Ovis aries: one gene and its partners. The protein of the gene in region 1 interacts with the protein of each later gene in a pairwise test. Links are inferred from orthologs where the notes say so. Each region holds a gene or a part of one and is shown in the gene's direction. Other genes may lie near its edges. The genes, in order: TRIM27, ILK, ATOSB, KCTD9, SPATC1L, KANSL1 and NDEL1.

Region 1 (3,961 bases):
AGTTACTGAAGTATCGGATCTGTTTCTTTGAAACATTGTGTAAATAGGTTAGAGAAAAAGAGTATAAACAAGGAAACTGGTGGAATAGGTCACATTCAACCAGTTACTAACTCATTTAAAAAAGATTTGTAAACTGACATTGTTGAAATCACTTAGTTCAAAATATAACAATGGAAATTAAAATAAACACAGGCAAGGCTGTCCAAATTCAATTAAGTTTAGAGGATGAAGGACAATATCGAGAAAATAGCAAAGGAAAACAGGAAACACCAAAGTAGGGATGGGCGAACAACGCAAAAATTTTGTAAGTTTGTTGGATAATGAAAACAGCCTGTGTTACTCACAGGATTATCATTCCCCCTATACTTCGGGAAGGAGCAGGCCTGTTTAGTTCTATTCAGTACAGCTCTAGGCACTAGGTGTTTTATTAATGAGCAAGCATGTTTAAGTTCTATTTAGTAGTTCTAGGCAGTGGGTATTTTATTATTTTAATGGTAAACCTCCTTAGGGTTAAAAAGTTGTACGGAGCTGGGGTATAATTACTCCCGTTTCACCAGACAGGAAACTGAAGCTCAGAATGGTAGACCACTTTGCTTAGGCACAGTAGGAAGTAGCAGAACTGGGCTTGCCTGTTTCTGTCACAGAAATGTTTTCATCTAATAATTAATCCTTTCTTTTACGAAACGCAACTGCGAGCGCCCGTCAATGGGGTTGTTTGATAAAGTTCCTCACAGACTGGGTGGGGCTGAGTCGGCTACTCCCAGCCCTCTGGCCTACCGGGGAAGCCAGATGTCTCTTCTTCCCACACCAACACAAAGCCAGCTTTCTCTCGCCGCGGCAGAGGCCTGAGCACCAGAGAAGAAACCCAACAAAAGACCCGGGATCCAGGCCCAAGGCCCAAGGCTCGGCGGGGGCGCCCGGAGCGTGCAGGCAGGGGTTATCCTGACCCCGCCGCACCCCGTGGACACCGCCTGCCTCTAGGACCCGTACCCAAGGAGCTTCCGCCCGCGCGTTCCGCCCCCGCCCTGGCGGCGAGGCCTCCCGGGTTCCCTGTGAAAGAATCCGTCCAGGCCTGAGGCCGCAATTTCCAGCCTCACGAAGGAGGTCCGGCCCAGGCCCCGCCCCCGGGCCGCCTCTTCCGCTCGCGCAGGGGTGGGGTCTGCGCGGCCGCTGGGATCGGCTCCGACGCGGCCACGTTGTCCTGCGCGTTTTGAGCGCCCGGCTCCGGGAGTCCGATCGGCGGCGATCTTGCTGTCCCTTCACATAGTCGCTGGGCTCGGTGGGGCCGCGGTACCCCCATACTCCCTCCGCCCGGCGCAGCGGCTCAGGGAGCGGCCCGGCCACCCGCCGTTCCAGCGCGCGGGCGCGTCTGGGATCGGCCCGGGAGGCGTCGCCCTCCGTCAGCCCGGCTGGCCTTTCCGCACCGCCCAGAAACAGCGGACGGGAGGGAGCGCAATCGAGTTGGGCTCCGCGCTGGGCTGGGCACCGGGGCCCATGCCCGTTCGCCCCCGCGGGCCCGCGCCATGGCCTCCGGGAGCGTGGCCGAGTGCTTACAGCAGGAGACCACTTGCCCCGTGTGCCTGCAGTACTTTGTGGAGCCCATGATGCTCGACTGCGGCCACAACATCTGTTGCGCCTGCCTCGCCCGCTGCTGGGGCGCGGCGGAGACCAATGTGTCGTGCCCGCAGTGCCGGGAGACCTTCCCGCAGCGGCACATGCGGCCCAACCGGCACCTGGCCAACGTGACCCAGCTGGTGAAGCAGTTGCGCACAGAGCGGCCGTCGGGGCCCGGAGGCGAGATGGGCGTGTGCGAGAAACACCGCGAGCCCCTGAAGCTGTACTGCGAGGAGGACCAGATGCCCATCTGCGTGGTGTGCGACCGCTCCCGCGAGCACCGCGGCCACAGCGTGCTTCCGCTCGAGGAGGCGGTGGAGGGCTTCAAGGTGAGGGCCGGGCGCGCGGGCCGGGGAGGGGCCGGAGCGCGAGTTGGACAAAGGGAGGAGAGAGCCAAAGGGGCTTCCTTTTTTCCGCCTAGAAAATGGCTGAGCCGGACGTGTGGTTCACAGCCGTCATTTCCTCTGTCCGCTCCAGAGCCTCGGCACTCAGATTTGGGAGGAAAACCTGTAGCTGGTGATGAAGCCAGAAGTCTCCCCACCCTCATTGCGTATGTGCCTCTGTGTTTACCCTCTCACGGGCACATTATACATGACGGCCCATGGAGACCCCTCTTGACTGTATATAAGATATCTGTAAAACCACGTACGCAGCGACAAGCTTCAGAGACGCTCGCATTCCTGTTGGCTCCTAGATGATCTCAGACAAAACACAGTCGGACGTTGCCCGGCTGTATTCACATCAAATAGATGCCCATCACCTCTCCTTTCCCCCAGCACTTCCCTGTGCTCCGTCCTCTTCTAGAACCTCCCGGAAAAGAACAAGTTTCTTACTGCCTAAGTCATTTAACCACTGTGCGACTCATAGGAGATAAGACTTAATGAAGACTGAGTGAAATAAAATGCTGTGTGGATTCCCTTGTGCACCAACAGATTTGTACAGCTCAACGATAGCATGGAAATAAAGTATTAAATATAAAATAGTTGTAAGACAACATTCAAGGTGTGCACATAATCTGTGTATGAGGACTGCAGAGAACATCCACACAATTATGTACATGTGTAAATGTGAGTATGTTCATGCAAAATTATTCACTGAACATTTATGGTGCTTTCAAAAATACCATTTTACTCACACCGAACACTATTAGGTTGAGAAGGTGGTGTTGGTTCATGTCACACCAAGGGAAAATAGGAGAAGTTAAGTCCTTTTCTCTCCTTACCTGTCCCTGAAAGCTCGACAACTAAAGCCTTCTAGTTTATTCACCTTTCCACTAAGCCATGCGGTATCCTTCCAAAGGCAGGTAGGTGACCCACCATTTAAGATACAAACTACCAAAGGAGAGGTGTGGTGCCACAGTGATGGCAGTGTGATCCAAGGACAGGCTCTCACCAAGAACTTGGCATCGTGAATGTGGGTTACACAGGTGATAAGCAGAAGAGTCACACTGCTAAGGCCTGCCTTATCTTGAGCTGTACATCTGTTTTTGCTTTTTCAGGAGCAAATCCAGAACCAGCTGGACCACCTAAAAAGAGTGAAAGACTTAAAGAAGAGGCGAAGGGCACAGGGAGAGCAGGCGCGAGCTGAACTCTTGGTGAGGTTCCTGAGAATTCGTAGATAATATCGGTTCTTCTGGTCACTCTCTTATATTGTAAGACTTGTAAACTTCCCTTAACCTTGTGCAGTCAGATCACCCAGAACTTATAGGTACGGGTGGAACAACCTTACATGGCAGTTAAGAATTCACCTGGAGAACCAAGGGATTCCCACATCTGGGGGGAAAAGGATGGAATAGTCAACTTTAAACCCTTGGAGATCTGACCTAGCAAAAGTTTAATCTGCTAGCTTTGTGCAGATCAGGGTTGATTCTGGTGAAATTCTTGAGCATTGGTTAGCAGCCTTTTGTATTGTTCTGCAGACAGATGCTGGCAGTGGCTTTCCATAAACTTGACTGTTGCTTCTTGTTGGAATGTTCTTTTTCTTGGCAATGATTCTATTCTGAACTTTTCTCTTTGTTCCCTTCTCCTAGTTTCCCAAGGCCTTTGTGGTAGGGATATTTGGGGGAGAGGGTGGTTGTTCTGGAAAAAATAGTCCCTTACCTTTCTGTAAAGGACTAGAGAGTAAATATTTTTGGCTTTGTGGCCTATACCTCTACCACAACCAGTCAGCTCCCTTGTCATAGCTCAAAAGCAGCTAAAGACACCATTTAAATGAGTGGATCTGTTTCCCAATAAACTTTTACTCCAAGGGAGTAAACACGGGAGTTTGCTGACCCTTTATTCTGAAATAAGCTTTTGTGGAGTCTCTCAGTGGGATAAGTGGTGGAGAAGGAAGGACAGATAACCTT
Region 2 (4,137 bases), on another chromosome or scaffold:
CCCAACCTTTGGGAGGCTGGAGAGCAGAGAAACCACCCACCTCACTTTCTTCATTGGATAGATGAGGTGATGGGGTTCCCAGAGAAACACTGTAAGGCCACGAGCTACAGGACCGAGGCTAGTGACCGGGAGTTCCAACTCTCAATCTCAGGTTTCTACCTCTAGCTAATACCTTTTTATAAAAAGTAGGAAGATTTTTGAAAATAAGAGTGACATGATCACACATGTGTGTATTAAAGATGCCTCCAGTTGCAGTGTAAAGAACCGAAAGAAAAAAAAAAAAAACACTGAAAGAGACAAGCTGCAGACAGAGGCCAGTGGCGGGGATTACAGCAGTGGGTCGAGGGGTTGAAGAGGAGAGAATAAAGCAGGCAGATTTCATGTCACAGGCTGACTGAAGGACAGAAAGAGCCTGAGCAAGTGCAGCAGCCCTCACATCGGCAGAGGCTTAAAGGAGGACTACTGTCTGGGAGGCCGTTCTGGACTAAGTCCCACTGGACGGATCCCTCATCCTGGAGACTCTCAGTACTCCCTCAGCTCCAGCTCCCTTTGAACAGCGGCACTGACAGCCCTCGTTGCCATTCAGTTTTGCTCTTTTCAATCTCCACACGGCAACCAGTGACATTTTCAAAACGCAAATCTGAAGAAATCATCCCCCTGCTAAAACACTCCATTGGCTTCTATCTTTAACGTGCAAATATTCTAACGTAGCCCTCCAATTTCTACCACACTGCCTCTCATTCTGTGTCATGCTCCCTTGACCCGGGTCTCTCCACATGCCTTTCCTTCCAAGAAACCCTCTTTGCTTCACTAACTTCTACTCACCAATTCTCTCTCAGTTCCAACGTCACTTTCTTTTGGAAGTTCCGGATCTGGGGAGGCTGCAAGCGGCCCCCCTCCCCCTAATTACACACGCGGCGCGCCCCAGCTCCGGAATCCAGCAGTCTGTTCTGAGTACTCCTGCAGGGCCACTCACCTTGATTTGAGAGGTTGCCGTGGGCCGAAGCCCTAAGGCTACAGACCCGAGGTCCGCGACTACAGGGGCCTCCTCGGCCCACTCCGGCTCCTCGAACATGGGGCTGGGGAGCGCAAGGTTGCGGGATCCACCCGCTTCTCCACGTGCAGACCACGTCTCTAAGAATCAGACCGCTCAGAGACGCCGGAACAGGGCAGGAAACCAAAGAGTGAGAGCTGAAGTGGCTAGAGCAGCCGGCGCAGTGCCGAAAACCATCGAGTTTAGACACTGGTGGGCTAGAAGGGCAAGGAAGGCGGGAGGGAGGGGCCGGGAGAAGGAGGCCCGCGCTGGCCTGAGAGGGCCAGGGGCGGGGCCGGGCGGCGGGCGCGGCCGGACGGGAGTTCCCCGGAGAAGGCTCCTCTAGCCCGAGTCCCGGTGAGTGTGGGGGCACCCGTGCCCCCTCCCCAAGGCTCGAGCTTTACCAGGCGGTCACCCCTCCCTCCACCTACTCGGTTCCGAGTCGGGAACGAGGGCCATCCTCGGCAAGGACCTCCGATCGCCTCCTCCAGGGTATACGGCGCCTAAACTCCCCACCCCCACCCCCCAGCTCTGTTCGCGGGTAGGGTCTCTGTGCTTGCTCTCGTGACATCCCTTCGGAAGACACTACCTCTTCATCAACGCCTACTTCGCCCGATCCGCCTTTCCCTCGCGCTCAAGGGACACAGTCCAGGACCATTCCGCTGCCTCCCTAACTCCTTACAGACATCCAGTAGCTGGGGACGCAGAGCCCAGACCCCCAGCCCAACACCACACTTCTCTCCTGTAGGGGACAAAGCCTGGGGCTCACCCCCCCCCCCCCCAAGATCCTTCTACAGTTCCCACACTTTCCCAGTCTAGGGGACTCTGCCGGGACGCTGCTATGGACGACATTTTCACTCAGTGCCGGGAGGGCAACGCGGTTGCGGTCCGCCTGTGGCTGGACAACACGGAGAACGACCTCAACCAGGGGTGAGCTGGGGTGGCTGGGGGGCGAGAGGAAGGGCAAAGACATGCTCCTCTCCGCTCTGTGGGGTGCTCACTTCTGGTGCGGGCGGCTTACTTTCCTATTCAGTGTGATGAGGATTAAACAGCCTGTCAGCGGGGCAGAGGGTCTCCACACCGGAAGCTGTTGTTTGAGCTGAATCTTGACTGAATAAGAATTTACAGGCAGAATCTGCAGAGTATTCTAACTTCAGTGAACCTCATGGGCAAAAGCTAGGGGGCAAGACACGGAGCAGAGAGTGCCAGAAACTGTCCGGAGCTCCATATGGCTAGAGGAGAGAAAACCGCTGGGCTTCTGTGGGCTAAAGCTCTAAGCACAAGTGCAGAATGACAGAAGTTAAGACTGGAAAGGTCTGCAAGGGTCAGTCAGATCATGCAAGAGTATTTAGGCTATAATAATTTTTTATTGCAAGGGCAAGGGTTTAGAGCCATGTAATGGTACGATGAGATTGTCCATTTGTTAAGTGTCATCTTGGATGCTTTATGAAGAGCAAGTGGTGATGTGAAGAGAGGCAACTAACTGCCTAGTCCATCTCAAGTGGTGATGGCTTAGACTAGAATTGGGACAGGCAAAAAAGAAAAAAGTGATCAAATTCCTGAGATCTTTTGGATAAAGAATTGGTGAGACTTGGTGTGGAAAGTGAGGTCAAAGATGATGATCAGGGTTCTGGCTTGGGTAGATAGTGGTTCCTTTTATTGAGAAGGACAAGGCTGAAGGGTGGTGAGTTCCACTCTGCACACATTTAAGTGACAATAAAGTGGATGTGGAGTGGGCTGCTGGATTTCAGGAGAGATCTGACTTGGAGACAAAGATTTGGGCGATATTAGCATGACTGGAGAAGGCAATGGCACCCCACTCCAGTACTCTCGCTTGGAAAATCCCATGGACGGAGGAGCCTGGTAGGCTGCAGTGCATGGGGTCGCTAAGAGTCGGACACGACTGAGCGACTTCACTTTCACTTTTCATTTTCATGCATTGGAGAAGGAAATGGCAACCCACTCCAGTGTTCTTGCCTGGAGAATCCCAGGGACGGGGGAGCCTGGTGAGCTGGTGTCTATGGGGTCGCACAGAGTCGGACATGACTGAAGCGACTTAGCAGCAGCAGCAGCAGCAGCATGAAGATGGGCTTCCCAGATGGCTCAGCAGTAAAGAATCTACTTGCCAGGGCAGGAGCTGGCAGGAGATGCGGGTTCAACCCCTGGGTCTGGAAGATCCTCTGGAGTAGGAAATGGCAACCCACTCCAGTATTCTTGCCTGAGAAATCCCATGGACAGAGGAGCCTGGAAGGCTGGTCCATGGGGTTGCAAAGTCAGACATGACTAAGCATGTACACGCATGCACACACAGACACACACAGCACGTAGATGGCACCTGAAGAGGTGGATATGAAACCGGATGAGAAACCTAGAAGACCAAACAGGAAAATATGCTGCTGCTGCTAAGTCGCTTCAGTCGTGTCCGACTCTGTGCGACCCCACAGACACCAGCTCACTAGGCTCCCCCGTCCCTGGGATTCTCCAGGCAAGAACACTGGAGTGGGTTGCCATTTCCTTCTCCAACGCATGAAAGTGAAAAGTGAAAGTGAAGTCGCTCAGTCGTGTCCGACTCTTAGCGACCCTATGGACTGCAGCCCACCAGGCTCCTCCATCCATGGGACTTTCCAGGCAAAAGTACTGGAGTAGGCTTAAAGAAGTGAATGTTTCAATGAAAGGAGTGGTCAGTGGTACTCTAGATTGCTAAGAGGTCAAAGAACTTGAGCACTAAAGTGTAACCATTGAATTTACAATTATTTATGTATTTAATGATCTCTGTGAGAGCCGTTTCAGAGGAAAACAAGTGAAAAAAACCAGACTATACTTGGTTCCTTCATTTAAGGAACTATACTGAACACGCACTGGGTGCTAGAAGTCCAGAATCAGGCATAATGCTTGTCCTCAAGGCAGTGGTCTCCTGGGCAGGTTGAATGTGAAGTAGAGAAAGTGAATGTAGACAAGTTCTTTAAGGTTGGCTGAGACAGGAAGGCAAGAAAAGCAGTAGTGATGCTGATTCAGGATCGTAGAATTTTTTTAAAGTGAGGAGAAAATAGATTTTAGGTTTGAGAGTTAAGGATCACCTGTCACTTTCATCCAGGCTTTATGGG
Region 3 (3,500 bases), on another chromosome or scaffold:
CTGTTGCAGGATTACAGGAGACAGTGACACTGCCATAAGTGAGGTCTCAGAAGAGATAAATATTTATGGTCCAGGCCAGAGGAAGTTTTATGGAGAGGATGGCATTTGGCCTAGCCAAGGAGGAAGGGTAAGACTTGGATAGGCATAAGGGGACATTCCCCCCTGAAAAGGAAAGTGTTTTGTGGATAGCAGGCAGCAAAGGCTACTAACCAAAGCATAAGTTTGATCCTGCATGCAGTGTTTTCTCCCATGAAGGAAGAGAGCCTTCGATTTGACATCCCCTCACCCAATATGGGCTCCTGAGGGTGGACTAGTTAGGGAAGACCATCTTGTACCCTGGCAGAAAAGCAGTGGTTTGAGTTTTGGGGTGCTGGATGTGTTGGGGAGGAGTAGCGAGGCACTCCAGCTGTCTGGCTGTCACTGCCTTATCTCTAGTTTGCAGAGCCTGGGGGAGGGGCAGGCCCTGGAGAGTGTCTTCTAGCAGTGCTTCCTCCACACCCTGCCCCCTCTAGACTTGTTTTTGGTTAGATTTGTTGCTTCCTGTTAAAGGGACAGACTGCTGGGGACAATTGGGAGTTTAACTCTGAAAGACCCACTTTGAGCTAGCCTGAGGTTTGTACTTCCAAGGAGCCCTGACTGGGGAGGAATATTTTTGTAAGACCTCTGCCCTGAGAATTATGGAGTGGCATTTGTTCCTTTAGAGATAGGTGTATGGGCAGGAGTTGTGCAACTCAGTGGCCTTGACTAGGAGAGTTGAATTCTTGCCTTGGCCACCTTTCAGTTGTCATGGTCTTTTGGATCTTGGGGTTTCTCATCCCCCATCTCATTCAGGGCAGGAGTCCCCCAGCTGGTGGCCCTGACAAGTAGTTTTCCTCCCTCAACTTACTTGTCACATCCTATTACAATGAGCTAAGACCTGCCACTCTGTGACTCTTTGTATAACCCAGTTCTGCCCTCTAGGCTCTGGATCCCAAGACTACTGCTTCCATCTCTGCAGGGGTACTGTGAAGGAGTATGTCCTCTATAAACTGGAGGAGGATGTCCTGGGGTATACTCTGTGAGCGCAGCCCTTCCACTGGCTCCAGAGATCCTGGCTTATGCCAGGCTTTTCCCATTTTTCTCTCCTCAGAGTCCAGCTGAGCCTAGGAGCTGCACGGAATGGTGGCAGTCACCTTGCCAGTGCAGCAGGCATGGACCAGACTGCAAGCTAGGAGAGCAAGACATCAGCCAGGAAGAGGGAACACACAGCTAGGCTTGAGGCCTCTTCATCGGGGTGAGTGCCAGAGAGAGAGGCGGGGAGCAGATTGAGTTAGAGACCTGAGCGAAACGGGTCACCTGTTCAGCAGTTTTGAGCATGCCCTCTGTATTCCATCAATCCATCTGGGGCGTTTGGTTATCTTCACCCTGCTGGAACCTCACAAGGTCACCTCTGTAGTCCAGGGGAGGATCTGAATTTCATCTGGGAGGGAGATGATTCATGGATTCCTCTCACCATCTTTTCTTCTCTTCTCTTGCACAGATGTCCCCAGGCCCCCCAGCCCAAGCCCAGCATAAAGGCTGTGGGGGGGGTCCCCCCTGACTGAAGGCGGGGCTTCATGCGCCACGTGCAGGCGGAGACATCTCCATCCTCAGAGCCAGAGGCTGGCCCTTCGCAGCCTGCAGTCAGGCAGGGGGCCCTCCAGGGTGGCCTGCTCATGGGCTACAGCCCAGCGGGGGGGGCGACATCCCCCGGGGTCTACCAGGTATCCATCTTTTCCCCTCCAGCTGGTGCCTCTGAGCCTCCTAGGGCCCTGAAACGGCCAGCCCCACCTACCGAGTGTCCCAGGGAGCTGAAGAGAGGCCCCGGACTAGGGGCCAGAGAGGGACTATCCCCTGAAGAGCCACCTACTGTGGGGCTCTTGGGCCCAGAGGGACTGGGGCTGAAACTGGGCGTGGCCAGCCAACATTTCTGCCATCACGGCCTCTGTGTTGTGGAACAAGGAGGTAGCTCCACCTCACCTTGGACTTCGGGGGCCCAAAGTTCCCCCTTGCCCCCATCAAATGCTTCCTGCAGTACTTTGCACACCAGAGACTGGGCTTCCCCAGATCCAAGGGGACAGGGGTCTCTGGGGGCGTCCCTGGGGCCAGCCCCTCCAGGCCAGCTGCACACATTTGACACTGATTTGCACAGTCTTGCACAAATAGGGGGTAAGAGCCTAGTGTCTGGGGTGGGCAATGGGGGCAGCCCCTGGCCTAGGGAGTCCCCTGGCACTGCCAATGGGTGCAGCCCCGAGCACACACCCCCTGGCCCCGGACCTCCAGGCCCCTGCCCCACCAAGCGAAGGCTGCTTCCTGCTGGAGAAGCCCTGGATGTCAGCTCTGAGGATGAGGGGCCAGCCCCTCGGAGGCGCCGGGGAACACTGGGCCACCCTCCTGCTGCCAACAGTTCTGATGCCAAAGCCACACCCTTCTGGAGCCACTTGCTGCCTGGGCCCAAGGAGCCTGTGCTGGTAAGCCAGGAGAGGAAGTGGTCTGCACTTATGTGGATATCTGTGTGGGGAAAGCTGATGGCATGGGGTATGTTCCTGTGAGAGCTCGTGATGAGCCTGGCTTCCATCTAGCCTTCTTACCTAATCTTTCCTCTCCACAGGACCCAACAGACTGTAGTCCCATGGGGCGGAGGCTGAAAGGTGCCCGTCGCCTGAAGCTGTAAGTGTCCTGCTTCTCCTTGAAAAAGGGGCAGAAGTCTGTAGTTCTCTTTCCAACACCAGGCAAGGGGACCTCAGGGAAGGGGCCTTAGGTGGGGCCCAAGGACAATAGCAAACATCCCAGAACATCTCAAGTCAACCAGCCCACTCATGTGTCCTCTGCCCTACCAGGAGCTCCTTTCGAAGCCTCCGGAAGGGACCAGGTCTGCTGAGCCCTCCCAGTGCCTCCCCGGTTCCTACCCCTGCTGTCAGCCGTACCTTGTTGGGCAACTTTGAGGTAGTTCCCCTTGGATTCCTGGATTGGTGGGTCTTGCAGGAAGGGATGGTGGTATGTGGCTTGGATAGATAAAGAGAACAGATAGCATCTTTCTCACGTTTCCCTACCCTAACCCCAGGAATCATTGCTGCGAGGACGCTTCGCACCGTCCGGCCGCATTGAGGGCTTCACCGCAGAGATTGGAGCTAGTGGATCCTACTGCCCTCAGCATGTCACGCTGCCCGTCACTGTCACCTTCTTTGACGTTTCTGAGCAAAATGCCCCGGCTCCCTTCCTGGTATGACCTGACCTCAACCCAAAGGGCATGAGGGGTTAGAGGCAGGAGGTATTCTCTTTTTTTTAATTGACAATGCAAAAGACTTTATTGGGAAAAGGCATTCAGGTGGAGAGCAGTAGTTGAACTGCTTTGGAGGGATTCTTGAGATGTTCTTACCTAAGAATCAGGGCCTAGTGGGAGAGAACTCTTGTATGGAGCAGGGGTCAAGTCCCAGGATGAGAGATGGTGGAGATGGATGAGTGGTCTGGGGTCTCCCACA
Region 4 (3,500 bases), on another chromosome or scaffold:
TATTCAAGAGGCTATCTTTTCCCCATTGTATATTCTTGCCTCCTTTGTGAAAGATAAGATGCCTGTAGGTGTGTGGGTTTATCTCTGGGCTTTGTATATTATTCCATTGGTCTGTACTCTGTGCCAGTACCATGCTGTCTTGATGACTGTATGTTTGTATTATAGTCTGAAATCAGGTAAGTTGATTCCTCCAGCTCCACTCTTCTTTCTCAAGATTGCTTTGACTACTTGGGGTCTTTTGTGTTTCTATACAAATTGTGAAATTTTTTTGCTCTAATTCTGTGAAAAGTGCCATTGGTAATTTGATGGGGGTTGCGTTGTATCTATATATTACATTTGATAGTATAGTCATTTTCACAGTATTGATTCCTCCAGCCCAGGAGCATGGAATATCTCTCCATCTGTTTGTGTTGTCTGTGATTTCTTTCATGAGTGTCTTGTAGTTTACTGTACACAGGTCTTTTGCCTCCTTAGGTAAGTTGAAATCTAGTAAATACGTTTCATCTCTTCCTTCATTTCTTTTTGATTTTTAGTTTCCCCTTTCATCTTTTACCTCCTTTCAGGCATTATCTGTGGTGTTCTTTCACTCCTGTGTTTCTTGTAATCTTCATTACTGAAATGATTTTTCTTTTTACTTCTAATTCTGAGTTCTCTTGTCCCATTTCTTCATTTTTGGTTCTGGTTTATATTATTTAACTCTTTTAGCATATTTGAAATATTATAGTTTACCTATTTTATGGGTATTTCTGCCACATCTTTATTATCTATAGGGATGTAGTCTTCCTTTTTAGAAATAATTTTGTATGGGAGTTTCTGTTCCTCATTTTTTACATGAAATTCATTTTCCTTTACTGGAGAAGGACAGGCTAACTTAGGAAAGTTTTCCTAATTTCATGGCTTTAGGTTTGCCTTTTTCTGTTTAATGTGAAGTATTGACAAATATGGGGATTACCTTCTTATGTATTCTGGTTCTGGTGGACCTTGTTGACTTTTATTATCTTTTTTTAAAATTTATTTTTAATTAAAGGATAATTGCTTTTACAATATTGGTTTCATTTCTGCCATACATCAACATGAATTAGCCATAGGTATATTTATATATATGTGCCCTCCCTCTGGAAACTCCCTCCCTCCTCCCACCCTTTCACACCCCTCTAGGTTGCTGCAGAGCTTAGGTTTGGGTTCCTGAGTCATATAGCAAATTTCCATTGGCTGCCTATTTTATGTATGGTCATGTATGTGTTTCCCTGCTGCTGTCGCCATTTGCCTCACCCTCTCCTTCCTCCCCTCTGCCTGTGTCCTAAGTCTGTTCTCTGTGTCTGCATCTCCATTGCTGCCCTGCAAATAGGTTCATCAGGACCATCTTGCTAGATTCCACATATATGTGTGTTAATATGTGATATTTGTTTTTCTCTTTCTGACCTACTTCACTCTGTATAATAGACTCTAGGTTCATCTACCTCATAATACTGAGGTATTCGATGTGTTCATTTTCCCAGCAACTTACCCTCTCAGTGTGGGGCTTGTTTCCTAGGTGGGAGTTTTGAGAGTTCATTTTCAGCCCCTTCAGATTTTACTGCACACTACTTGAATCACCTGCAGTTAAGAGTGGGCAGACCCCTCCACTTCCGGGTGGTTGTTCTCAAGCAGATTTGCTGAGTTTTGAAGTGAGTCTTTACGGATTACTTTGGAATACTTAGGATCATTACATACCCTGCTGTTGCTGTCAAAGAAGCTGATGCCATAGCTGCTGTCCTAGCTGTCAGTGCTGGTGGTATACCTTATACTTAGTTTTGTTTTTCATGCTGTCTATGGGTACAGGGCTTGCTGTCCTGGTAGCTCTGCCATGCTTTCTATGTGTGTTTTTGGTTTAAAAAATTATGGTATTACCATCTTCCCTAAATCACCAAATTAATGCCTCCCCAAATTAATGTTTATTTTTTCTACCTGTCATCTCTAGATCCTCAGACAGATTCTAAACTGCCTGAAGGGCTGTCAGGATCTCACACAGACTGGCTCACATTAAATGTTGGAGGGCGGTACTTTACAACCACACGGTAGGTGCACATGCACGTGTGTGTCAGTGTGGTACTATGTGCTGTCTGTCCTTTCCTTCAGAGTACTGATTTCCTTAGGAGATATTCCAGTGCTGCTTAAATATACTGTGTGATTTGAAACCAATTTTTAGAAAGACTTTTTTTTAAGAGTAGAAAAATGGCTCATAAGTCATTCCAGAGAAGGCACAAAAAGCATGAATTTAGCATTTTTAGAATGTGTTTTTAAAATATTGAGCAATATACTTGTAACACAAGTAAGAAAATTAACAACATTGAAATTTTAAGACACAACTGCTTATACTAAAGGGATAAAAACAGCCTACTTTAGAGCATGAAAATTGTGATATAGTTGCGTGCTAGAGGGATAGATTAGCATTGAAATTAAAGTCAACTAAATCGATGTTTAAATCAAAGGAAGTGCCAGATTAGAAGAGATTTTGATAAATGGCAACTTACTGCACATTTTTGTCTCCCAGCATCACTCCTCCCAGGTTATAGCATGCATCTTTTTGAGAGAGCAGCTGAGATCAAGTATACTCTTGACTTAAATATGTTTGTTTATAAAGACAAATGGAGAAATCCATTTTTTTCCCTGAATTCTTAGGAGCACTTTAGTGAATAAAGAACCCGACAGTATGCTGGCCCACATGTTTAAGGACAAAGGTGAGTGCAGTCCATAATTTTCCCATTTTGCATCTAGCTATATTGACTTTATAAACTCCTGTCCTTCTGTACTTTTTAATGGTATTGGTAATAATCTGTACAAGAGTAAAAACATACTGGTATGCTACACAGTTTCCTTCCTATGAATTTCTGACTTTATTTTTTGCTTATGGGGGGGCTATCTTCATTTTGTTGGCCCCACAGGTGTCTGGGGAAATAAACAAGATCATAGAGGAGCTTTCTTAATTGACCGAAGTCCTGAGTACTTTGAACCCATTTTGAACTATTTGCGTCACGGACAGCTCATTGTCAACGATGGGATTAATTTATTGGGTGAGTTTTCAATGTAATTCCTTATATTTTTATAAGTTTGGGATTTATACTTTCTTTTTAACTAGCTTAGTGTAATGTATTTTCATCAAGTAAAATTATCGTTTTCATTTTTAAAACTAAATGCTTTTATGTGTGTATGAATATATATTGTTACAGAGGTATAGCCACAGGTAAATGGCTTTTCACGTATGTATATAACCCATGAATTCCAGTTTGGGATTCTAAATAGACTTGGAATGTATCAGTAAGCACTCTAAAGGATTTTATTATTCTTTTAAAATCTTGTTTGTTTCCTTTCTAAGCTGTTCTCTATTTGTTTTTGGCTGCGCTGGGTCTTTGTTGCTTTGTGCAGGCTGTCTCTGGTTGCGGTGAGCAGGGGCTCCTCTTTGTGGCAGTGTATGGGCTTCTCGCTGCGATGGCTTCTCTTACGTGGAGCACAGGTTCTAG
Region 5 (3,500 bases), on another chromosome or scaffold:
CATTCTACACTGACTCCCCAGCCGTCCATCTTCCGTCCTTGACCATTGGCCATCTCCTGGAGGGCTTGCTCACTGTTCCCTGTTGGTTCACCACCAGCCCTTAAGTCTGGTCCCCATGACAGGAGTGCTCCTCCATCTCCCAGCAGCCATGGGGGCTTCACAGGTACCCCTGCTCACGGGGGCTGTCCAGGAATCCTTGGGTCAAAGGCCACGTGCAGCTCAAGTGTTGACATGGACACTGGGACCCTCTCCAAAGGGCTGTGGCCTCTCCTGCTGCACCTTTCCCACAGCTGGTGTCACCCATGGGAGGGGGCCGCTTTGCATATGGTGCACATGTTCTGAGGGACAGGGTGGGGTGGGGGCCTTGGCCATCCCAGGCCTTCCCCTCCCAGGCCAGTTTCCTCCAGATCACCCTCGTGCCTGAGCCCCTGGCGTCTCAGAGCCTCCACAGTTGCCTGGACGCCTTGTCCTGCATGGAGTGTCCAGTGATGTTAAGTAGTTTCTGAGTGTTCTCTCTGCCTCTTCCCTTTACCATCACGAGACAGCTGCTTCTGTATTGTCATAAATACATTCTAAATAGCTGTGTAATAGTCCAGAATCAGATGAACCGGAATTTAATGAACTCTCCTTATGTTTGAAATGACAGTTCTTTTCTCTTACCCTGAAGTAAGTGTTAGTTGCTCAGTTGCTTCTGACTCTTGTAACCCCATGGACCATAACCCATAAGGCTCCTCTGTCCATGGAATTCTCCAGGCAAGAATAATGGAGTGGGTTGTCATTTCCTTCTCCAGCTCTGAAGTAAGTGAAGTGAAGTGAAGTCGCTCAGTTGTGTCCGCCTCTGCGACCCCGTGGACTCTAGCCCACCAGGCTCCTCTGTCCATGGGATTCACCAGGCAAGAATACTGGAGTGGGTTGCCATTTCCTTCTCCAGGGGATCTTCCCAACCCAGGGATCGAACCCAGGTCTCCCACATTGCAGGCAGATGCTTTAACGTCTGAGCCACCAGGGAAGCCCACCCTGAAGTAAATACCACAGCAAAAGCATTTTCTATTCAGAGTTATTGCCTTAGGGTATGTTTCCCTAAAGGTAGAATCACTGGCTCAGAAGGCAGGGTAATTATTTTCACATCTCTTTTTCTTACATTTGCCCAGAGGGTGAGATAGTCCCCTGCACCTCTATTAAGCTGCTCTGACTGTTTCTTCAAGTCTCTTTAGCCATTTCTCGCATAAATCTTTCACATTAATTGGTTTATTCCTGGGGCACTTTATGTTACTAATTGCAATCATGGATGGGATTTCTTTTTCCACTGTGTTTTCAGTTATCTGTGTTACTGTGTTTTGGAAATCTGTTGATTTGTAAATATTTAGCCTATATCCAGGCCCCTTATCATATTTTGCTTACTTTATATTTTTATTTTTACTTTTGGCCACCAGGCATGCTGGTTCTTAGTTCTCCGACCAGGGGTTAAACCCAGGCCCTGGGCAGTGAGAGCGTGGAGCCTGAACCACTAGACCACCAGGGAATTCACTATCCAGTCCCTCCCTGAGCTATTTTGTTCTGCTGAGTTTTCCAGTTCTTTCTCCCGTTTTCTCAGTTCTGTAGCTGCTGTTTACAGACTTTTAAATGGGGTTGGCCTCTCAGATGGGCTTCCCTGCTGGCTCAGTGGTAAAGAATCCACCTGCCAAGCAAGAGACAGGGCTCAATCCCTGGTTCAGAATGATCCCCTGGAGAAGGGAATGGCAACCCACTCCAATATTCTTGCCTGGAGAATTCTCACAGACAGAGGAGCCTGGCGGGCTACAGCCCATGGGGTCACAAAGAGTTGGACACGTCTTAGCAACTGAACAACAACGGCAGCTCATACGCTCGTTTCTGTCTTTCTTCCTCAGGAATCCCAGGACTTTTGGCCTTGACAGCCTCCCCGCTCATCCTTCTGGAGGGTGGTCGGCAGTGGACAGCCCTGTCTGTCCAGGTATTGGGGGTGGGGGGTGTAGGCTGGGTGCTGGGGAAAAGCCTTCTAGTCCTTATTTTTTAAGAACAACAATGACAACAAAATTGAAGAAGGGCTCATTTTGTTAAGATTTTATGACCTCACTTCTTTTCTGGCCAAAGTGCCCTCAGCTGCACCCCCACTGGCCTGTGGGGTCTTGTTCCACTGTGTCATTGAGAGACTCCTGGTTCTGGGCCTGAGCTGTTTGCTGTGGGATCTGTTTGGCTGGGGCTTCGCTCAGGATCTCTGGACTCTGTTTTCTCTAATTCCTATGTGAATCTGGGCTGCAGTTTTCTTTCTGTGAGTTGTCTTTTCAGGGATTTGATATCAGAGTTATGACAATTTATAAGCTTGATAATCAAGCATCGTTTAATTTTTTCAGTGTTCCAGCCTCATTCATGTGATGCAGGGGTTGTGAATTGTTTGGGGACTTGAAAGAACTCATCCACCAACCACACAGGTCTTCAACTCTTTGCCCATAATTCTATAACTTCTAGGTTTTTCTTTTTTGCTTATTCATCTGTGCAGGTTTTCTACTTCTTATTGAGTCATGGAAAATAGCTTCCCAAGTGATCTCTCCTTTATTAAAGTTTTCAAGTAATATTCAGTTGGATATAATCTTTTATGATTTAAACATTGTCTTCCTGGTCATTCTTATCTGGCTTTTCTCATTTTCAATTTTATTCTTTTGTTTTCTGTTTCTCTAAAGTAGCTTTCCAGGGTTTCACTATCTTATTGGACTTTTTGTAGAGCTGTTTCAAGTTTATTTCTGCTGCTATTTTTATTATTCTCTGACTTTTGCTTTCTTCAAGAGTTCATCCCTATATGAATGTTTAATTTTTTGATTATGTTTTAGAAGTAATTAAAGGATTTAAGTTGCTAATTTCACTTTAGATACAGTTTTAAATGTATTGATGGCAATATACCTAGTGTTCTGATTTTCATTATTTCTCAATAATCATTCTTTCTATTTCTATTTTCTCCTTGATCTGATTATTACTGAAGATAATTTTTTTTCTAATATGTATATATTTTTTGGTCTTAGTTGTGGCACTTGGGCTTTCTAGTTGTGGAGTGGACTGAGTTGTTCTGCAGTATGTGGGATCTTAGTTCACTGACTAGGGACTGAACCCACAACCCTTGCATTGCAAGGTGAGTTCTTAACCACTGGACCATTGGGGAAGTCCTGAGAATGCTTTTAATTTTGAGGAGATAGGGTTTTCTATTGACTCTGACTCATTTATAGTTTAATATGGTTTGAAAGTTTTGATTATGTGTATATGTATGTGTATGTGAAGTCGCTCAGTCCTGTCCGACTCTTTGCGACCCCGTGGACTGTAACCTACTAGGCTTCTCTGTCCATGGGATTCTCCAGGCAAGAATACTGGAGTGGGTTGCCACTTCCTTCTCCAGGGGATCTTCCCGACCCAGGAATCGAACCCAGGTCTCCCACATTGCAGGCAGACGCTTTAACCTCTGAGCCACCAGGGAAGTTTTGACTGAGGATTTA
Region 6 (4,044 bases), on another chromosome or scaffold:
TTGGTTTTTTAATTTAAAAAAATTTTTTTAAATTGAAGTATAGTTGATTTACAATGTTGTTAGTTTCAGGTGTATAGCAAGCTCTCATTCTTATTTCATAAAGCTAAAGAGGGTCCCTGAAATGAGTCGTACCATCTGTGAGGTTCTCATAGTTTTATTGTTTTATTTTTCCAGAGACCCTTCCTCCCTTAACTTTCATACCTCTTCACTATTTGTTTTTCTTATCTCACCAACCATCTTTCTGTTTCTGTTCACCCGCCTTACTTTACTGTGGATGTGTTTTTATGTTTCTATGGGGAGTTCTTCCTTTAGCATGTCACTGATTGCCATATTATGTGAAGAACTCTATCATCTCCCCAGATTATCCACCCCCTCCTGAATTCCATAACTGCAGTTTTCCCTGAACACTTCTACTTGGTTTTACCCCTGCTATCTGGAAATGAACATACTAAAAACTAAAATTCCTCACCAAGTCTTCATGCTGTCCCTCTTTGTCCGGACCACCATTTTAACTGTCCCCCTGGTTTTGCCACCTTATAGTTATTTTAAAATTAAGCCACGTAATTAAAAAAAAAAAGGAAAAAAATCAAAATCTTTAAAATCAAAAGATACAAAAGGATATATAGTGAAATGTAAGTCTTCCTCACACCTGATCCCCTCAACTCCCCTCCCAGAAGGAAACCACGTTACCAGCTCTTAGAGTGATTTTTTTATTCTTTATTTTGGCTATATCTCAGATGTGTGTCCTTTCCTCTCCAGGCCCTTGTGACCTTATATCTGGTTGACTTTCTATATAAGTATTTGTATGTGTGTATTTTATATACATATATAAAATCTCCCTCTGTGGCCTTCCGGCCTCGAGTTTTCTTCACAACGCTTCCTGGATGAAGAACCTACAAGGGTGAGGGGCCGGGGTTGGGGGTGATGGGGAAGAGGATCTAAAGGGGACTTAGGTAGTGGGTTCGGAGTGACAGACTTGCGGGAAGCTCTGCCAGGATCCCTGTTTCTATTTCTGCCACCTGAGGCCCATTTCCAGTCCTCTCATCCAAATGTCTCTCATTTCCAAGCTCCGAGACAGAGACAGCGAGATACACAGAGACAGAGACGCCAAGGCACCAGCATCCCTCTCCCCTTCTGTCCCGCCCCACCACTCTGACGGACATTCGCCGCCCGCCAATAGAGATACCTATGTTCCCCGGAAGGGCCAATGAGAGATAGAGGAGGGCGGAAGATTCCCCGCCCCCACTTCTAGGCTTGGTTGAGCTGTGCAGGTAGGTCCGGGGGCCGGGGGAGCCGCCGTTGGCACTGGGGCCCCGGGGGGTGGGGGCACGAGTCGGTAGGGGTGATGGTGGGGAAGGGGAGGCGGCCCCAACGGCGGGAGCCCGAGGGGGTGGCCCGGCCGGGAGGCGGGGGGCCGACGGGCCCGGGGAGCGGGCGCCGCCGAGGGCCCTGGAAGCGACTGGGCTGGGGGAGCGGGGACGCGTGTGTGGGGCATAGGGACCCCCGCCCCGCGCCCACCCGCAGGCCTGGGCCTCGGGCTGCGGGCAGAGGGGTCGGGGGCTTGGTACTCGGGGGGCGGGCTGGGCCGGGCCCGGGGCCGGGGGCGCCGAGCACAGCCCGGGGCGCCAGGCCGAGCCGAGGTGGGACGGACCGACGCGGAGAGGAAGGGAAGCTGCATCCCGCGGGCCGCCCCCTTCCAGAAGCGAGCGGAGCAACGGCCGCCGGCGCCCTGCCTTGAGCCCCCTCTCCCTTACGCCCCCTCCCTAACAATGGGTTTGGGGCAGAAGGAGTCGCCTCACTGCGGGAAGGGGGGGTCTGTTTGGGACTGGGGTCTAGGGTGGGGGGAGGGGTGGGAACTCGGGCTCTCCCCTTTCTCTTCGCCCCTTAGCTCTTGCGTTGGGGATTATGGAGGGGCTCTTAAATCCTTCCCGGACTTGGGTCAGAAGTCAAACTCCCCCCAACCCTCCCCCCACCAAAAAAAAAAAAAAAATTCGACGAGCGTAAGGAAAGTGATGCCAAGTCTTCGACGCCGAAGTGACAAACGCATAGCAAGAACAAATCCACTCCAGAGGTTTTTATTTTTAATTTTTCTTAAAAATGAGGGTACTGTAGGCTTTGAATTTTTAAAAATTTATTTTACAGAGGTGGGTGCTGTTATTTTGTCCCTAATCGGGCAAGCCTCCATTTTAAGCGAAGCAGTAACTGGTTAAGCTGGAATTTTCATTCAGGCCTAGGACGAGAGCACGAATCCTACAAGAGGTCATTTAATCCATCCTCCTACCTCCACACAAACTTGGCTCAAAATTGTTTGGCCTGTTATTAAAGATTTCTAGGAAAGAAGGGTCTTTTATTTGTAGCACTTCAGTCAAGAATGGCTATTATTTTTCCACATAGAATGGGCTCTGCAGCTTAAACTCAAGAAAATTTAGGACAATCAAAATGATCAGAGAGGGTTTAATTTATTAAAACTAAATGTGGCAAGGGCATTTTTTAGTGATCAGATAAAAAAATCACTTTTTAATAGTGTTTATGAAGTAACCCTGGACAATCATTTTTCTATTTGAGAAATAATTCTAATAAGCAATTTTATATTATCTGAAATATGTGTTACACATTTAATCCAATTTTATGGAGAAATATATTTCTTCATACCTGTGGAGAAACATACACCACACGCATTTGTCCTTCTCCAAAAGGAACAGTTATTTTCTACATTTTTTTAAAATGGTGAGGCAAATAGTACTTTGAATCTCTGTCCAGATAGTTTAAACTATATGCTTATTTTTGGATTATTTTTAGTCTAAATGAAAGTCCTCTCTTTTTCAGATACCTTTTTGAAACAAAAAATTTTCCTATCTTCTCATACTTGGTGGCTGGGGAATTACTAAGACTCTATTCTTGCTCGTTTCTGAGTATTATTGCCTGAACTACTGCTGACACTATGAATGCTACTTGGATGCCTCTTAAGGTAAGATGTGTGTGTGGTTTTTTTTTTTTTTTTAATTATAAAGGTCTCGTTTTATTATTATTATTTTTTAGAATTGAGATTTTTTTAGTTTTTGAATTTGCAGTTTTTCAACCGTCTTACCTGACATTTCTTTCCCTTGTGTTTGCCTCCTAGAACTGATTGGTTACTCCTTTGTATTGCTCCTGTCCTTAATTATTGGTGTTAAAATATTAATGAAGTTCTCAAATTAACTTTCATGATAATGATGTGTTTATTTTTTAGCTTTAAATTATGACAACCCCACACCGTTGTAAAATTCTGTTCCAGTCTCAGTAGGATGGGCTGGCAATTCAGACAGCCGGGTCCACTTTCAAACAGGTCCTTTAGTATCATCATAGGTGTTAGGGTGTGTCCCACTCTTGCAAATCTGTAGCTGATTCATGTGTTACAGAAGATGTGTCACTAGCCATTTATTTACTCTGAAACTTGATTGATGTTTAGAACATTCTAAGACCTGTTTGTTTATATCTGTAGCTTTGTGGGAGTTTTCCTGCTATTCCCTAGTCCTTTGCATGCAAATTTGTACTATTTTTCTCAACAGGTAGCACTTTGTGCCATATTTCACCTCACAAGATAAACCTCTTTGGGGGCAGTGTGAGAACACGATCTTTACATGAAAAAGCTCCCAATGATGTGGTTGTTCTCCTTTCTCTTGGCTACTTCCAGTTTCTTGTACTTAAATGGCCAGGAAACTCTCTCCATTAAGAAAGACTAAACAGAGGATAAAGCTTAAGATACATGCAGGGAGGAAAATGGGAGGGAGGAAGGATGGGGAAGGGTAAGGAGTAATGGAAGCCCCCACAAGCTTCACTGGATGGTACAGGTGACTTCCTTCAGAGCTAAATACTAATGTAGTTAGATTTTTGTCTGTTAACCTGCCCTGTGGAATTCCAAATTAATGCAGTGAATACGTCAGGTATTAATGCAGTCTGTGTAAACTAAACACTTGGATTGCGGGAAATTTTTAGGTAAATGTAGACTGAGTTCGCATCTTCATTTATGTTCCAGCTGCTATTGTTGGCTGAGGAGTTCTATAT
Region 7 (4,213 bases), on another chromosome or scaffold:
GCAGCAGCCCCAGGCTGGAGACAACATGATCCTGAGCTGCCCTGAGGTCAGTCTGAAACCTTCATAGCATCTTAAAAGTCCATGAACATTTATGGACTAACTTCCAGTGCTCTGGTAGATGCTCCTGGGAAAACAGAGACAAATCCATGCAGCCCTTACCCTCCCTGGGTGACCTTGGGGAGATAGACAGCTCCATGGGAAGGAATTATCGGTGAAGGGCCTCAGTCGTAGTTCTTAACCGTGGTGCTTCTCCGACATGGTGGGACCCAGTGACACATTTGACCTGCAGCCACTGTGGAGGCGAGAAGTGACTCCAGACCAGGGTGGCATGACCTGCCAAAGACTTAAGGAGTGGGTCAGATTTGGAGAGGCAGAAAGGAGGGGGGATGCCACCAACCACTGAAGGGAATAATGGGATGTATGTGAAGCCAATTACACACATTATCTCATTTAAGCCCAAACAATGCCATGAGGTCAGTACTGGTGTCACCTCCATTTCATTTTGCAAAGATGAGACACAGAGACACACAGCAACTCATTCAAGGTCTTGCCACCAAAAGTGGTAGGCGGAGGCTACTTCCCTCTGACTTCCCATTTTTTCTCTGAAGCCACAGGTGTGCTTTGCCAGGTTCTGGGCATCTCCTGTGTGCTCAGTTTCACAGACGTGTCTGACTCTTTTGCGATCCCATGGACTGTACCCCACCATGCTCCTCTGTTCATGGAATTTTCCAGGCAAGAATATATGGGTTGCCATACCCTCCTCCAAGGGATTGTCCCAACTCAGGGATTGAACCTGAGTCTCCTGTGTCTTCTGCACTGCAGGTGGATTCTTTACTGAGTGAGCCACTGGGGAAGCCCTACCTTTTATTTATTATTTTTGGCTACACTAGGTCTTTGTTGTGGCACATGGGCTTTCTCTAGCTGTGAGCAGGGGGTTACTCTCTTGTGGTCCATGCGCTTCTCTTTGCAGTGGCTTCTCTTGTTATGGAGCAAGGGCTCTAGGGCGCTAGTGCTTCAGCTCAGTAGTTGTGGAGCATGGGCTTAGTTGCTCTGGGGCATGTGGGATCTTGGTTTGCAGACCAGGGATCGAACCTAGGTTGGCAGGTGGATTCTTACCACTGAATCAACAGGGATCCTGCATCTCCTACCCTTAATGTGGGAAAGCTCTCCTCCTTGCTTTTCCCCTCTAATACAGGGCTGGAGACAGACAAAGGGGAAGCTTGAAGTTCTGGCTAAAGAGTTAGGGATTGAGTTTCTTTTTCTCCTTCCTCAACCCTGAAGTCTTGCTCAATAGCAGCTGAGCAGTGGGGCTGCAAGGTTGCTTCACTTCTAGAAGGCCGGCCGCAGCCTTCCTGGCCCAAACCCACTTCCGGTCTTCGTGCCTCTTTTGTCACAAGGTGATTCTCACACTTCCTGTTGATTTCCACTTTGTTTCAGCTGCTTCAGCTCCAGCCACTTTGTGCTGCTGTTGATCTGATCTGCGAGGCCTGGGACACAGGACCAGGTATGTTGGGATGGTGGGGACTGGGGGGTCAGCTTGGATAAGGTCTGGGCCAGATCAGGGCCAGAGTGGGGGGCTCCTGGTAGACCCTTTCTGTCCATTGTGGGGGACTGTCAGAGGCTGGGGTCAGTTTGTGAAGTTGGTTATGTCCCTGTGAGGGATGGTACCAGGGGTGGCTTCCTGAAACCAGATCATTTGACCTCTACCCCCCTAAAATCTCATCACCTTGATTTGGTTGTGTGTTACGTGAGCTGCCCAGGTAACATTTTTCTAGGCTGTAGAGCGAGCTTCATCTCTGGGAGATGGCTTCTCTGGGATTGACTTCGACACAGCTGGTGTGATGCTTGAAAGTTTGCTGAGCTGACCGAGTTGGGGCTTGTGATTAAGTCCTGGCTCCTTGTCTTACTGACGGGCAATTCACTGTCTTCTGAACCTTTCTGGTCTACACAGTTCAAAAATGTCTCTGTTTTTTGGGATGTTGGTGATGCTTAAGCAGGATGATGATTGTGAAAGTGTTTTGTAAACTGTAAGACGGCATTCTCAGGGTGTGAGGTTACTTTCATTTTCTAAATGGAACTAGATACCTTTTTTTCCTGATTGTGGTAACTGGTGAAAATATAAACAAAGAGAAAGGGAAAATTTTTACATAATTCCAGCCCCAGAGATTATTAGTGACACTGGTATATAAAGTTCTACTTAAAAAATTGAATTTTTAAAAAATTTGATAAAATATACTGATTCAACGGATACGAACATGGGCAAACTCTGGGAGATGGTAAGGGACAGGAAGTCTGGTGTGCTGCAGTCCATGGGGTCACAAAGAGTTGGACACAACTGAGTGACTGAACAAGAACAACAAAATATACATGAAATAAAAATTAGTTTTTAAGCATACAGCTTAGTGGCATTAAGTACATTCCCATTGACATGCACCCATCACCAAGATCCATCTCCAGATTTTTTTTCTTCTCCAAGTGAAACTGTGTACCCATTAAACAGTATCTCCCTAGTCTTCCCCACCCGTCTCTGGCAACTACCACTCTACTCTCTCTTGAATGGAACCATACAGTATTTGTCCTCTGATGGCTGGCTTATTTCACATAGTGTAATGTCTTCAAGGTTCATGCATGTTGTAGCAGGTGTCAAAATTGCCTTCCTTTTTTAAAGTGAAAGTGAAGTCGCTCAGTCGTGTCTGACTCTTTGCGACCCCATGGACTATATCCTACTATATCCTATCAGGCTCCTCTGTCCATGGAATTTTCCAGGCAAGAGTACTGGAGTGGGTTGCCATTTCCTTCTCCAGGGCATCTTCCTGACGCAGGGATTGAACCCGGGTCTCCCACACTGCAAGCAGACACTTTACCCTCTGAGCTGAAAAATATTGCATTGTCTATAGACACCACATTTTGTTTATATCATCTGCTGATGGACAGGATTGCTTCCACCTTTTGGTTATTGTAAATAATGCTGCTGTGAATACGAGTGTGCAGATGGCTACTTGAGTCCTTGCTTTTAATTCTTTTTCGTATTCACAAATGGATTTGCTGAATCATATGGTAATTCTGTGTTTACTTTTTTGAGGAACTTTCAGAATGTTTTCCATAGTGGCTGTACCATTTTGGATTCCTACCAGCAATGTACAAGGGTTCCAATCTCTCTACATCCTTACCAACACTTATTTTCTGGTGGTGGTTTTTTTCTTCCTCCCAGGGGGTGTGGTATCTCGTTGTAGTTTTGATTTGTGTTTCCCTGATGATTAGTGATGTAGAGCTCCTTTTCATGTACTTGTTAGCCATCTGTATACTTCTCTGGAGAAATACCTGTTCAAGTTCTTGGCCCATTTTTAAATCGAGTTGTTTGGTATTTTTGTTATTGAGTTGTAGTAGTGGTAGTTGTAGTAGTTCTTTATATATTTTGGAAATTAACTAGACTTCTAAAACAATATTTCTTGTGTCAAACTGTATTTACTGTTCTCTAACCATTTTTAAACTTGTTTATTTATTGGCTGTGCTGGGTCTTTGCTGCCTGTGGGCTTTTCTTTAGTTTCGGGAAGTGGGGGCTACTCTTCTTTGTGGTGCTTGGGATTCTCATTGCAGTGGCTTCTCTTGTTGCAGAGCATGGGCTGTAGGGCATATGGGCTTCAGCAGTTGTGGTGCGCGGGTTCAATAGTTAGTGGTTACCCGGCTCTAGAGCTTAGGCTCAATATTTGTTGCGGGCAGACTTAGTTGCTCTGCAGCATGTGAGATCTTTCCGGATCAGGGATTCAACCTGCGTCTCCTACACTGGCAGGCAGATTCTTTACCACTGAGCCACCAGAGAAGCCCTCTTTTTTTCACTTAGTATCACTTGAGTATCATCTCATGTTAATTTATAAAATCTTCCTTGTCCTTCCTAACAGCTGTGTAGTATTCCAGTGCTTGGATTATACTATGATTTATTAAATGAGTCTCCTGGGTGTTTAGGTTGTTTCCAGTTTTGGGCATAATGATAAAACAATGCTGCAGTAAACATCACTGAACATACGTCTTTGCATATTACTTCTATAATTTCCTTAGGATAAATCCTTAATAAGTTGAGTGCTGGGTAAAAGGTTATACATATATTCACAGTTTTAATTCATTTGTCCAGATTCCTCTAATAAATGTCATACCATTTGTTTTAAATTTCATATCCACTTTTATTAAGGCAATTACAAAGATTACATTGAAGAAT

The links.
Region 2: the proteins of TRIM27 (region 1) and ILK interact in binary tests that used the Homo sapiens proteins (3 or more experiments, as listed by UniProt). The two-hybrid records come from large-scale screens. The link is inferred for Ovis aries from reciprocal best matches to the Homo sapiens genes TRIM27 and ILK.
Region 3: the proteins of TRIM27 (region 1) and ATOSB interact in binary tests that used the Homo sapiens proteins (3 or more experiments, as listed by UniProt). The link is inferred for Ovis aries from reciprocal best matches to the Homo sapiens genes TRIM27 and ATOSB.
Region 4: the proteins of TRIM27 (region 1) and KCTD9 interact in binary tests that used the Homo sapiens proteins (3 or more experiments, as listed by UniProt). The two-hybrid records come from large-scale screens. The link is inferred for Ovis aries from reciprocal best matches to the Homo sapiens genes TRIM27 and KCTD9.
Region 5: the proteins of TRIM27 (region 1) and SPATC1L interact in binary tests that used the Homo sapiens proteins (3 or more experiments, as listed by UniProt). The two-hybrid records come from large-scale screens. The link is inferred for Ovis aries from reciprocal best matches to the Homo sapiens genes TRIM27 and SPATC1L.
Region 6: the proteins of TRIM27 (region 1) and KANSL1 interact in binary tests that used the Homo sapiens proteins (3 or more experiments, as listed by UniProt). The two-hybrid records come from large-scale screens. The link is inferred for Ovis aries from reciprocal best matches to the Homo sapiens genes TRIM27 and KANSL1.
Region 7: the proteins of TRIM27 (region 1) and NDEL1 interact in binary tests that used the Homo sapiens proteins (3 or more experiments, as listed by UniProt). The two-hybrid records come from large-scale screens. The link is inferred for Ovis aries from reciprocal best matches to the Homo sapiens genes TRIM27 and NDEL1.

Annotation. Positions count from the first base shown.
Region 1 is NC_056073.1:29,117,587-29,121,547, forward strand, and holds the start of TRIM27 (zinc finger protein RFP), read left to right. Parts: upstream 1-1,161; 5' UTR 1,162-1,523; coding exon 1,524-1,943; intron 1,944-3,112; coding exon 3,113-3,208; intron 3,209-3,961. UniProt on the Homo sapiens protein: E3 ubiquitin-protein ligase that mediates ubiquitination of various substrates and thereby plays a role in diffent processes including proliferation, innate immunity, apoptosis, immune response or autophagy.
Region 2 is NC_056068.1:46,202,718-46,206,854, reverse strand, and holds the start of ILK (integrin-linked protein kinase), read left to right. Parts: upstream 1-1,337; 5' UTR 1,338-1,525; intron 1,526-1,847; exon of another isoform or gene 1,848-1,852; 5' UTR 1,853-1,874; coding exon 1,875-1,963; intron 1,964-3,771; exon of another isoform or gene 3,772-4,137. Other genes in the region: RRP8 (ribosomal RNA-processing protein 8), read right to left, coding at 977-1,075. UniProt on the Homo sapiens protein: Scaffold protein which mediates protein-protein interactions during a range of cellular events including focal adhesion assembly, cell adhesion and cell migration.
Region 3 is NC_056055.1:53,368,536-53,372,035, forward strand, and holds part of ATOSB (atos homolog protein B), read left to right. Parts: intron 1-1,129; 5' UTR 1,130-1,273; intron 1,274-1,519; 5' UTR 1,520-1,595; coding exon 1,596-2,489; intron 2,490-2,629; coding exon 2,630-2,688; intron 2,689-2,858; coding exon 2,859-2,964; intron 2,965-3,082; coding exon 3,083-3,241; intron 3,242-3,500. UniProt on the Homo sapiens protein: Transcription regulator that may syncronize transcriptional and translational programs.
Region 4 is NC_056055.1:40,148,736-40,152,235, forward strand, and holds part of KCTD9 (BTB/POZ domain-containing protein KCTD9), read left to right. Parts: intron 1-1,960; coding exon 1,961-2,057; intron 2,058-2,661; coding exon 2,662-2,720; intron 2,721-2,924; coding exon 2,925-3,053; intron 3,054-3,500. UniProt on the Homo sapiens protein: Substrate-specific adapter of a BCR (BTB-CUL3-RBX1) E3 ubiquitin-protein ligase complex, which mediates the ubiquitination of target proteins, leading to their degradation by the proteasome.
Region 5 is NC_056054.1:266,614,745-266,618,244, reverse strand, and holds part of SPATC1L (speriolin-like protein), read left to right. Parts: 5' UTR 1-1,623; coding exon 1,624-1,972; intron 1,973-3,500.
Region 6 is NC_056064.1:45,912,785-45,916,828, reverse strand, and holds the start of KANSL1 (KAT8 regulatory NSL complex subunit 1), read left to right. Parts: upstream 1-1,244; 5' UTR 1,245-1,271; intron 1,272-1,495; exon of another isoform or gene 1,496-2,071; intron 2,072-2,826; 5' UTR 2,827-2,968; intron 2,969-4,044. UniProt on the Homo sapiens protein: Non-catalytic component of the NSL histone acetyltransferase complex, a multiprotein complex that mediates histone H4 acetylation at 'Lys-5'- and 'Lys-8' (H4K5ac and H4K8ac) at transcription start sites and promotes transcription initiation.
Region 7 is NC_056064.1:27,824,456-27,828,668, forward strand, and holds the start of NDEL1 (nuclear distribution protein nudE-like 1), read left to right. Parts: upstream 1-1,413; 5' UTR 1,414-4,213. UniProt on the Homo sapiens protein: Required for organization of the cellular microtubule array and microtubule anchoring at the centrosome. May regulate microtubule organization at least in part by targeting the microtubule severing protein KATNA1 to the centrosome.